3 linked regions of the Macaca mulatta genome follow. The protein of the gene in region 1 interacts with the protein of each later gene in a pairwise test. Links are inferred from orthologs where the notes say so. Each region holds a gene or a part of one and is shown in the gene's direction. Other genes may lie near its edges.

Region 1 (3,347 bases):
CAAGTGGACTTTCTGCTGGAAGCTTGCCCGGGACTGGCGGCCTCTGGAGGGACGGTGGTTGCTCCCCTTGCTGGTTTTTTGCTGAGCCCCCTGGTGTGCATGGTGGGGACCACTCAGATGGGGAGCTGTCTCCAGGCCATCTGCTCAGGTGGTTTTACGTTCCACCCTTGGCTGTCTGTGCTCCGAAGTCCAGGGCCCAGGTCCTCCCTGTATCCCTGTCCTGTTTGGGCCACAGATCAGGTGCTTGGGTTTCTCTTGGCAGCTTCCGCCTGAGGTACCCTCCTCCAGAGGAGCAGGGGCCTGATCAGATCACATGGCTGACGTTTCTTCCTGGAGGACTTTGGTTATCTGTGAGGGTGGGAGGCAGCGATGCAGGGTTAGATGCAGGGTTTGCTGTCTGTTTGTAGGGAGCGGCACCGGGGGGGCGTGGCCCCGGGCTTCCAGGTGGTACACCTCAACGCTGTGACTGTGGACAATCGCCTGGACAACCTGCAGCTGGTGCCGTGGGGCTGGCGGCCCAAGGCTGAAGAGACCTCCAGCAAACAGAGGTGGGTCTTCTCAGGGCCCGGTGATGCTGGCAGAGGTGCCTTTTGAGGAGGGCCACCTCCAAAGCTCTTGTTTCCAAGAGGGTCTCGTGTTCCTCCTCTGAGCCCTGATGCTTCTGTGTGTTTTGGGACTTTCATTGTTTTTCCCCAAAGTGTGGAATCCTCCTTTTCTTTATGGGAGCGTGAAGGATCTTGGTATGTGTTTTTGCATTGCTCTTCTGATAATTGGCTCTGGGAACCTCCCTTTAGCTGGCATGACAAAGCGGGGAGAAGGGCTGCCTGCTCCAGGGCAGGGCCCGCGCTGGGACTTGGTGTGAGCAGGGCTTGTGCCCCACACCCCGGGAGGCATCAGCCTTCTCACCTCAGGATTCCTCCCTTCTCACCCCAAGATTCCTCCCTTCTCTCCTCACCTCAGGATTCTTCCCTTCTCTCCTCACCTCAGGATTCTTCTCTCCTCACCTCAGGATTCTCTCCTCACCCCAGGATTCCTCCCTTCTCTCCTCACCCCAGGATTCCTCCCTTCTCTCCTCACCCCAGGATTCCTCCCTTCTCTCCTCACCCCAGGATTCCTCCCTTCTCTCCTCACCCCAGGATTCCTCCCTTCTCTCCTCACCCCAGGATTCCTCCCTTCTCTCCTCACCTCAGGATTCTTCTCTCCTCATCTCAGGATTCTTCTCTGCTCACCTCAGGATTCCTCCCTTCTCTCCTCACCTCAGGATTCCTCCCTTCTCTCCTCACCTCAAGATTCTTTCCTTCTCTCCTCACCTCAGAATTCCTTCCTTCTCACCCCAGGATTCTTCCCTTCTCTCCTCACCTCAGGATTCCTTCCTTCTCTCCTCACCTCAGGATTCCTTCCTTCTCTGCTCACCTCAGGAATCCTCCCTTCTCTGCTCACCTCAGGATTCCTCCCTTCTCTCCTCACCTCAGGATTCCTTCCTTCTCTCCTCACCTCGGGATTCCTTCCTTCTCTCCTCACCTCGGGATTCCTTCCTTCTCTCCTCACCTCGGGATTCCTTCCTTCTCTGCTCACCTCAGGATTCCTCCCTTCTCTCCTCATCTCAGGATTCCTTTCTGTGCACACAGATGGGTCTTTTTGTTGTGTTCTTTTGCTAAACGGTTTTCGTTAAGCAAAAGTTTAAAGCAGAGAATGTGTGGTTCAGGGCTCAGCCCTTGGCCCCCCACTTGCCTGTGATCCTGAAAGCAGTGCTTTGCATGGGCTTCCCACGTGGGAGGGCAGTTCCTGCTGGCCCTAGAATCAGCCAGGCTGTGAACTTCATGGAGCCCTTGGGAAGAGCCAAGGGACCAGCAGGATGGGGGTTGGGAACCCAGATGAGCCAGAGAGTCCCCAGCCACACATGCTTCGCTGACATGTTCCCCAGTCGCCCTGGGGCTTCTGGGCATGTCCTCAAGCCTCTGGGCAGCCTTTCCTGGTGCAAGCAGTGCGAACTGCCCTAGCAGATGGTTATCAGCAACGCTGGTAAGGTTTAGTGTTTTGGGCTTGGTGATGGTTGGTGGCTGTGGGTAGAATCTTTGCAGTTGTCACCTCAGGGTCATGCTAGAGCCCCGTGCAGCCGAGGTGGAAACAGTGGGAGCACCTGAGACACTGGTTGGTGATGTGGGGACAGTCCCCAGGTCTCCAAAATGCCACCCCCAAACTGCTGTTCCTGCCACCCTGGAGGGAGTCCTGCAAGTCTCCCCCATCCCCTCCTCACTGGGCCTCTCAGGATGAAGGCAGAGCCTGCGGTGTCTCTCGTTCTTGTTGGGCTAGTGGTTTTGTTCCCTGCTCTGTTTATTTAATGTAATTAATTAATTTTACAGATGGGTCTCACTGTGTTGCCCAGGCTGGTCTCAAACTCCTGGCTTCAGGAAATCCTCCTGCCTCAGCACTTTTTTTTTTTTTTTTTTTTTTGAGACGGAGTCTCGCTCTGTCCCCCAGGCTGGAGTGCAGTGGCCGGATCTCAGCTCACTGCAAGCTCCGCCTCCGGGGTTTACGCCATTCTCCTGCCTCAGCCTCCCGAGTAGCTGGGACTACAGGCGCCCAACACCTCGCCCGGCTAGTTTTTTGCATTTTTTAGTAGAGACGGGGTTTCACCGTGTTAGCCAGGATGGTCTCGATCTCCTGACCTCGTGATGCGCCCGTCTCGGCCTCCCAAAGTGCTGGGATTACAGGCTCGAGCCACCGCGCCCGGCCTTTTTTTTTTTTTTTTTTTTTTTGAGACGGAGTTTGGCTCCGTCGCCCAGGCTGGAGTGCAGTGGCGCGATCTTGGCTTGCTGCAGCTTCTGCCTGCCTGGTTCAAGCAGTTCTGCCTCAGCCTTCCTAGTAGCTGGGACTACAGGTGCCCGCCACCACGCCTGGCTAACGTTTGTATTTTTAGTAGAGACAGGATTTCGGCATGTTGGCCAGGCTGTCTTGAACTCTTGACCTCAGATGATCCGCCTGCCTCAGCCTCCCACAGTGCTGGCATTACAGGTGTGAGCCACCACGCCTGGCCCCGCCTCAGCCTTTTGAGTAGCTGAGATAACGGGTGTGCACCACCATGCCCGGTCCCTGCTCTGATATTAGAGTTTTGACCCTTCTCTCATACTGCTTGTGAGTGACGCCAATCCTCTTATGATTGTTGGATGGGATTTTTTTTTCTTTCGGGGATTATGTTAGCCGGAACTTTGGGTTGCAAGAAACAGAAACAGCTCAATTTGGCTGAAACAAAATAGGGTACGTTTTGGTATCCTGACTGAAATGTGGAGAGCCAGGGATGCTGCTGCCTCCAGCTCTGCGCCCCCACTCCCGGCTCCTCTCCGAGA
Region 2 (3,649 bases), on another chromosome or scaffold:
TCACATGGCACCTCATTTCAGAACATGGAGAAGATCCTGATCCGCCCAACAGCCTTCAAGCCAGTGCTGCCCAAACCTCGAGGGGCTCCGTCCCTGCCTAGCTTCATGGGTCCTCGGGCCACCGGGCTGTCTGGGAGCCAGGGCAGCCTGACACAGCTGTTTGGGGGCCCTGCCTCCTCCTCCTCTTCTTCCTCCTCCTCTTCAGCTGCTGACAAACCCCTGGCATTTAGTGGCTGGGCCAGTGGCTGCCCATCAGGGACGCTATCCGACTCTGGCCGAAACTCACTGTCCAGCCTGCCCACCTACAGCACCGGAGGTGCCGAGCCAACCACCAGCTCCCCAGGCGGGCACCTGCCTTCCCATGGCTCTGGGCGAGGGGCACTGCCTGGGCCAGCCCGAGGGGTCCCTACTGGGCCCTCCCACTCAGACAGTGGCCGGTCCTCCTCCAGCAAGAGCACAGGCTCCCTGGGGGGCCGTGTGGCTGCCGGGCTTTTGGGCAGTGGTACCCGGGCCTCCCCTGACAGCAGCTCCTGTGGGGAGCGCTCACCACCACCCCCGCCTCCACCTCCTTCCGACGAGGCCCTGCTGCACTGTGTCCTGGAAGGAAAGCTCCGAGAGCGGGAGGCAGAGCTTCAGCAGCTGCGGGACAGTCTGGACGAGAATGAGGCTACCATGTGCCAGGTGTGGTCAGAGGCAATGATGGGGAAGGGGCATGGCAGGACATCCCAAGGCCTGGGGAATGAAAGGGGCATTTCCATTTTAGCAGGGAAGAGGGGTTGGGTAGTTGTAGTTGTGACCCCCCTGCCCTCCCCACCAGTTGTCTGGTTTAATTTGTGGAATAGCCAGACGTGGTGGCTCACATCTGTAATCCCAGCACTTTGGGAGGCCGAGGTGGGCGGATTGCTTGAGCTCGGGAGTTTGAGACCAGCCTGGGCAACATGGGGAAACCCCATCTCTCCTAAAAATAAATTAGCTGAGTGTGGTGGCATGTACCTGTAGTCCCAGCTATTTGGGAGGCTGAGGTAGGAGGATCACTTGAGCCCAGGAGGAGGAGGTTACAGTGAGCTGACATTTTGCCATTGCACTCTAGCCTTGGGTAACAGAGCAAGACTGTATCTCAAAACAAGAAACAAAAAACAAAACTTGTGGGGTGGAAAGGAGTCAGAGTGCATGGATTCAAACCTCCCACTGCTAAATACCAGTTTTTGGACTTGAGCAAGTTGCTTAACTTTATTCAGCCTCTATTTCTTCATCTATAACAGGGATATTTCTAGCTTCATAGGATTGTTATGAGGATTAAATAAGGCAAAAGGTGTAAAGTGCTTAGACTAATGCCTGGTATCTAGGAAATGCTATACATAAATGCTTGCTTTTTTTTTTTTTTTGAATTTTTAGTAGAGACGGGGTTCCCACCATGTTGGCCAAGCTGGTTTCGAACCCCTAGCCTCAAGTGAGGCACCCGCCTCGGCCTCCCAAACTGCTGGGATTACAGGCCTGAGCCACTGCACCCGGCCAAGTGCTTTTTTTTTTTTTTTGAGACAGGGTCTCATTCTCTCACCCAGGCTAGAGTGCAGTGGCGCGATTTCGGCTCCTTGTAGCCTCAACCTCCTGGACTCAAGCAGTCCTCCCACCCCAGCCTCCCAAGTAGCTGAAACTACAGGCACACGCCACCACACCAAGCTAATTTTTGTTCTTTGGAGAGGCAAGGTTTTGCTGTGTTGCCTAGGCTGGTCTCAAACTCCGGAGCTTAAGTGATCCACCCACCTCGGCTTCCCAAGATGCTGGGATTACAGGCGTGAGGCACCGAGCCCGGTCTGCTTGCTCTTGTGTTTGTTTCTATGATCATTATAAAAGCAGTTAGTATTGTTGCAATTACTATTGTTGTTTGATGGAATACACCCTTCCTGAGCCCTCAGAAGTGGGCCGCCAGGCAGACACTGAGTGGGGAGTTGGGAAAACTGCCCAGGAGCTGGGTCTGTCTTCTCGCCTGCAGGCATACGAGGAGCGGCAGCGGCACTGGCAGCGAGAGCGCGAGGCCCTGCGAGAGGACTGTGCAGCCCAGGCACAGCGGGCACAGCGGGCCCAACAGCTGCTGCAGCTGCAGGTGTTCCAGCTGCAGCAGGAGAAGCGGCAATTGCAGGATGACTTTGCACAGCTGCTGCAGGAGCGTGAACAGCTGGAGCGGCGCTGCGCCACCTTGGAGCGGGAGCAGCGGGAGCTCGGGCCAAGGCTTGAGGAGACCAAGTGGGAGGTGGGCCAGACCAGGAGGGGCAGGGAGCAGGGTCACACAGGGAGAAACCCTGGAAAAAGGGGCCCAGCCGCACCCTCCCTCAGCCTGCCACCCCCAGAGGTCCTCCCCTTCCTCACCTCCGTGAGATGAAGTTCTCCTCTGTTCCTTTCTGGGAGGAGGGTCTCCTTGTTGGCCTTGTCTAGTGGCACAAAGCCACGCTCCAGCCAGTAGTAAGAATGTGGTGTTTGTGGTGTGGAGGCACTCTTCTAAGCATGTTACATGGGACAGATCATTTCATCCTTATAACAACACTGAGGGGGCTACCACTAGTCTCCCCATTTTAGAGATGAGTAAACTGAGGCCCAGAAAGACTGGAGTGCCAAATCTGAACCCAGGCAGTCTGGCTCCAATATCTGAGCTCTTAACCAAGTCACTGTAGTACCTCTCCAGTAGACACCTGGGTACTGCCCTCCATTGCCCCCACTCCTGCAGCACCTGCCAGCACCCAGTCCCCAGGGCTCGGTGGTACTTCCACAGTGTCTCGTGATGCTTTGAAGACACCAACTTTGAAGCAAAAAAATCTATGTCTGCTTTCCACTTAAGCCACATCTTCACTCTATGACCTTGGACATGTCACTAGACTTGCCTCAGTGTCTCCATCTATAAAATGGGGATAAAGATGGACTCTCCTCCCGAATGCCCAGCATGATGCACAGGGCCTGTCCCCCCAGGAGAACCTGTCTCACCATCCTTCCCCACTGCCTCCCACCCCCAGGTGTGCCAGAAATCAGGCGAGATCTCCCTGCTGAAGCAGCAGCTGAAGGAGTCTCAGGCAGAGCTGGTGCAGAAGGGCAGCGAGCTGGTGGCCCTGCGGGTGGCACTGCGGGAGGCCCGTGCTACCCTGCGGGTCAGTGAGGGCCGTGCGCGGGGTCTACAGGAGGCCGCCCGAGCTCGGGAGCTGGAGCTGGAAGCCTGTTCCCAGGAGCTGCAGCGACACCGCCAGGAAGCCGAGCGGCTGCGGGAGAAAGCTGGGCAGTTGGATGCTGAGGCGGCTGGACTCCGGGAGCCCGCTGTGCCACCTGCCACCGCTGACCCATTCCTCCTGGCAGAGAGTGATGAGGCCAAAGTGCAGCGGGCAGCAGCCGGGGTTGGGGGCAGCTTGCGGGCCCAGGTGGAGCGATTGCGGGTGGAGCTGCAGCGGGAGCGGCGGCGGGGTGAGGAGCAGCGGGACAGCTTTGAAGGGGAGCGGCTGGCCTGGCAGGCAGAGAAGGAGCAGGTGATCCGCTACCAGAAGCAGCTGCAGCACAACTACATCCAGATGTACCGGCGCAACCGGCAGCTAGAGCAGGAGCTGCAGCAGCTCAGCCTGGAGCTGGAGGCCCGGGAGCTTGCGGAGCTGGGCCTGGCTGAGCAGGCCCC
Region 3 (3,228 bases), about 75 Mb from region 1:
GTCTTGGATGTCAGTCAAGTATTTTGAAAGAATACCAGCAGTGCCAAGGCAGTTGAATCACATGGTTTGTCGTCCCATTTTTCTTACCTAGACGTTCAGTCTTAGTGCTGGCCCTGAGGGTCTGTGTGATAAAGTCAGTTTCAAAGGCTTACAGTGCTGTCTGAAGACAGTGTCTGGTCCTCAAGATGCCTGGAGGCCATCTCTACTGCATATTTCCTTGGAGTCCAGGCCTCCCTTTGTGTTGGCAGTTCTAGCCCCACAGCAGAGGTTCCTCTTGAGATGGACATCTAGAATGGCCAATTCTTTTCATTCTTCAAACATTCTGAAGTTCTTTTCCTCCTGCAAATCTTCCCTTTATTTTTTTCTTTCACCTTTACTCTATCTGGAAATATAATGCCCTTAAGTGTGTGATATGAGGTATCAGAAGAACATGGCTTTGGAGTCAACAATACGGTTTAAATTCCAACTTAACTCGCTAGCCATGTGACTTTCGGGCAAGTTTCTTAGCTCCTCTGAGCCTTGTTTTAGAAATCTGTAGAATGGAGAGAATCATGCCCATCACAAAGGGTTATTGTGAAGATGAAACAAGATCATGTATGGAAAGACTTGAGCACAATTGACTGACATGTAGTTGGTATTCCTTAATTGTTAGAACCAGAGAGTAGAGTGGGTCAGATCGTGGGCTCTGGGTCTGAATTTGCATTTGTGCTTTTTCACTTCTAGCCAAGTGAGCTGGGACAAATTCTCTCATTTTCTGTGCATCTGTTTCTGCATCTATAAAACTGGCATTGATAGTACCCACCTTATTAGGACAGTCTGAAGATTAAGTGAGTTGATATATAAAGCACTTAGAACACTGCCTGTTATGTAATAAGTTTTATACAAGTGGCAGCCACTTTTCTCTCACCAGCCAATACAATGCCCTATTCCTTTGGAGTAGCATATTTGATATATGTGGATTAGATGTGAGGATTACAGGGTCACAGTGGGCTGTCACCCCACAGATGACCAGGTAGGCCTGGTTCGTCTGGCTGGTGGCCCGCCAGTGGTGGGTTGTGAATTGCCTATCCCACTATATCAAGTGGTAGCAGGGATGTGCTCTGTCGTTCCTTTGTCTCAAAGACTACTTCATTGGAGACTGGCTTATGACCTTCGGGCTCTGTAGAATATATGCAAGTTGGTTGACTTGATTTATTATTAATTACCTCTTCTGCTTTAATTTCAGCTGATTATTTGCCTTGGAACCAACCAAGGCGACAGCCACTTCGTCTGGAACACAAATACCAGCCAGCATCAGTCAGGTTTGATAATAGGACCACACACCAGGACGATTACCCCATAAAAGGCCTTGTGAAGACTGTGAGCTGTAAACCTCTGGCCATGCCAAAGCTCTGTAACATCCCCTTGGAGGATGTGACTAACTACAAGATGAGCTACGTGGCCCACCCCGTGGAGAAGCGCTTTGTGCACGAAGCAGAGAAGTTCAGGCCCTGTGAAATCCCCTTTGAAAGCCTTACCACTCATAAACAATCCTATCGGGGCCTGATGGGTGAGCCTGCTAAGAGCTTGAAACCTCTAGCCAGGCCCCCTGGGCTAGACATGCCTTTCTCTAACACCACTGAGTTTCGAGATAAGTACCAAGCTTGGCCAACGCCCCAGATGTTCTCCAAAGCTCCCATCACCTACGTCCCTCCTGAAGACAGCATGGATCTTCTGACAACAGTGCAGGCCCATTACACATACCCTAAGGGTGTCCCAGCTCGGTCCTGCCGACCTGCACCTCAGATTAGGAAAAGCGGTCGCTTTGAAGGCTCTTCCACCACCAAGGATGACTACAAGCAGTGGTCCAGCATGCGCACAGAGCCAGTCAAGCCCATTCCCCAGCTGGACTTTCCCACCGAGCCCTTGGACTGCCTGACCACCACTCGGGCCCACTATGTGCCCCACCCGCCTATCAATACCAAAAGCTGTAAGCCTCATTGGTCTGGCCCTCGAGGAAATGTCCCTGTGGAAGGCCAGACCACCTACACCATCAGCTTTACTCCCAAGGAAATGAGCAGGTGCCTAGCTTCATATCCTGAGCCTCCTGGCTACACCTTTGAGGAAGTGGATGCTTTGGGGCACAGGATATACAAGCCGGTTTCCCAGGCAGGCTCTCAGCAGAGCAGCCATCTTTCTGTGGATGATTCAGAAAACCCCAGCCAGAGGAAGTTGGAAGTGTCAGCCTGATTTTGAAAAATTGTAATTTAGAAATTACACAGTACTTTTAAAAGCAGACAACTGAGAATTATTTGTTGGACAAAAAAAGAATTCCCTAAAATGACAGAAAAAAACAAAAAACAAAAAAAACCTTCACCACTTCCAGAGCACTTGAATAAAATGAGAATTACTTGACTCAGGGAAAATGACATTTAATCACCGGCTAATTAACGCCCCTTAACTTCTCCTTTACTGCATCCCCACTCCGTTTCAGGTTCTTTACTTTGTGCTTATGGAATCAAAATTGGTCTCTGAGGTTTTCTCTAATCCAGATGTATTTTATTAATTTAATCATTGTATGAACGGACATAATGATTAACCCTTGCCAAGTATGAAGCACCAAAGAATAAATTTTATTTTGGGGGGAATGAATCTGTAGCTCTGTGTGTTTACACCCATGTGCTGGCTGTGCAGACATTAGTCTGTATTGCTTGGGACCTTTGGGAAATTTTACGTTAGCATCCCCACTGTGTGTCAGTATTGGTGGAGGTGCCTTGGGCCTGGTCTGGTGTCTTGTTTTGGGTTCTCTGTGTGCAGGGCTGCTTCACAAAGCATCCTTCTACCTCTTCACTGCATGACATACCAGCAAGAATACTGCTGTTCGATGGGGTGTGGATGTCTTTGGTCACAGGTGATGGAGGGAAAGAAAGGGAGGCAGGGATGCATGAACCTACCAGACCTCTCCCCAACCCCAAGCCAGTACAGGCTATGATTCCAGGGAGAGGAGGGAGAAAAAGCAGCCTTGGCAAGCAGGCAGTCAACACCTGGTCCTTGAGCTGTGAGCAAAAGCTGTGGGCTCTTCTAAATGCTCAGAGCCTGGAAGAAATTGCCCCAGGCTGGCCTGGTTTCTGGAGAGCCTGGATGTGCTTGTCCTAAAATGACAGCTGTGACCAGACCTGTGGCAAAGTTAGACCCAGTGGTGAGCCAGATTCCACCCTGGAGTTTCTCTCTTGAGCCTAAGGTTTTTTA

What was found.
Region 2: the proteins of ZMYND19 (region 1) and LZTS2 interact in binary tests that used the Homo sapiens proteins (3 or more experiments, as listed by UniProt). The two-hybrid records come from large-scale screens. The link is inferred for Macaca mulatta from reciprocal best matches to the Homo sapiens genes ZMYND19 and LZTS2.
Region 3: the proteins of ZMYND19 (region 1) and SAXO1 interact in binary tests that used the Homo sapiens proteins (3 or more experiments, as listed by UniProt). The two-hybrid records come from large-scale screens. The link is inferred for Macaca mulatta from reciprocal best matches to the Homo sapiens genes ZMYND19 and SAXO1.

The regions. Positions count from the first base shown.
Region 1 is NC_133420.1:4,866,589-4,869,935, forward strand, and holds part of ZMYND19 (zinc finger MYND domain-containing protein 19), read left to right. Parts: intron 1-407; coding exon 408-548; intron 549-3,347. UniProt on the Homo sapiens protein: May be involved as a regulatory molecule in GPR24/MCH-R1 signaling.
Region 2 is NC_133414.1:113,067,030-113,070,678, forward strand, and holds part of LZTS2 (leucine zipper putative tumor suppressor 2), read left to right. Parts: intron 1-21; coding exon 22-681; intron 682-1,993; coding exon 1,994-2,251; intron 2,252-3,005; coding exon 3,006-3,649. UniProt on the Homo sapiens protein: Negative regulator of katanin-mediated microtubule severing and release from the centrosome. Required for central spindle formation and the completion of cytokinesis.
Region 3 is NC_133420.1:80,266,847-80,270,074, forward strand, and holds the end of SAXO1 (stabilizer of axonemal microtubules 1), read left to right. Parts: intron 1-1,225; coding exon 1,226-2,229; 3' UTR 2,230-2,627; downstream 2,628-3,228. UniProt on the Homo sapiens protein: May play a role in the regulation of cilium length. Stabilizes microtubules at low temperature.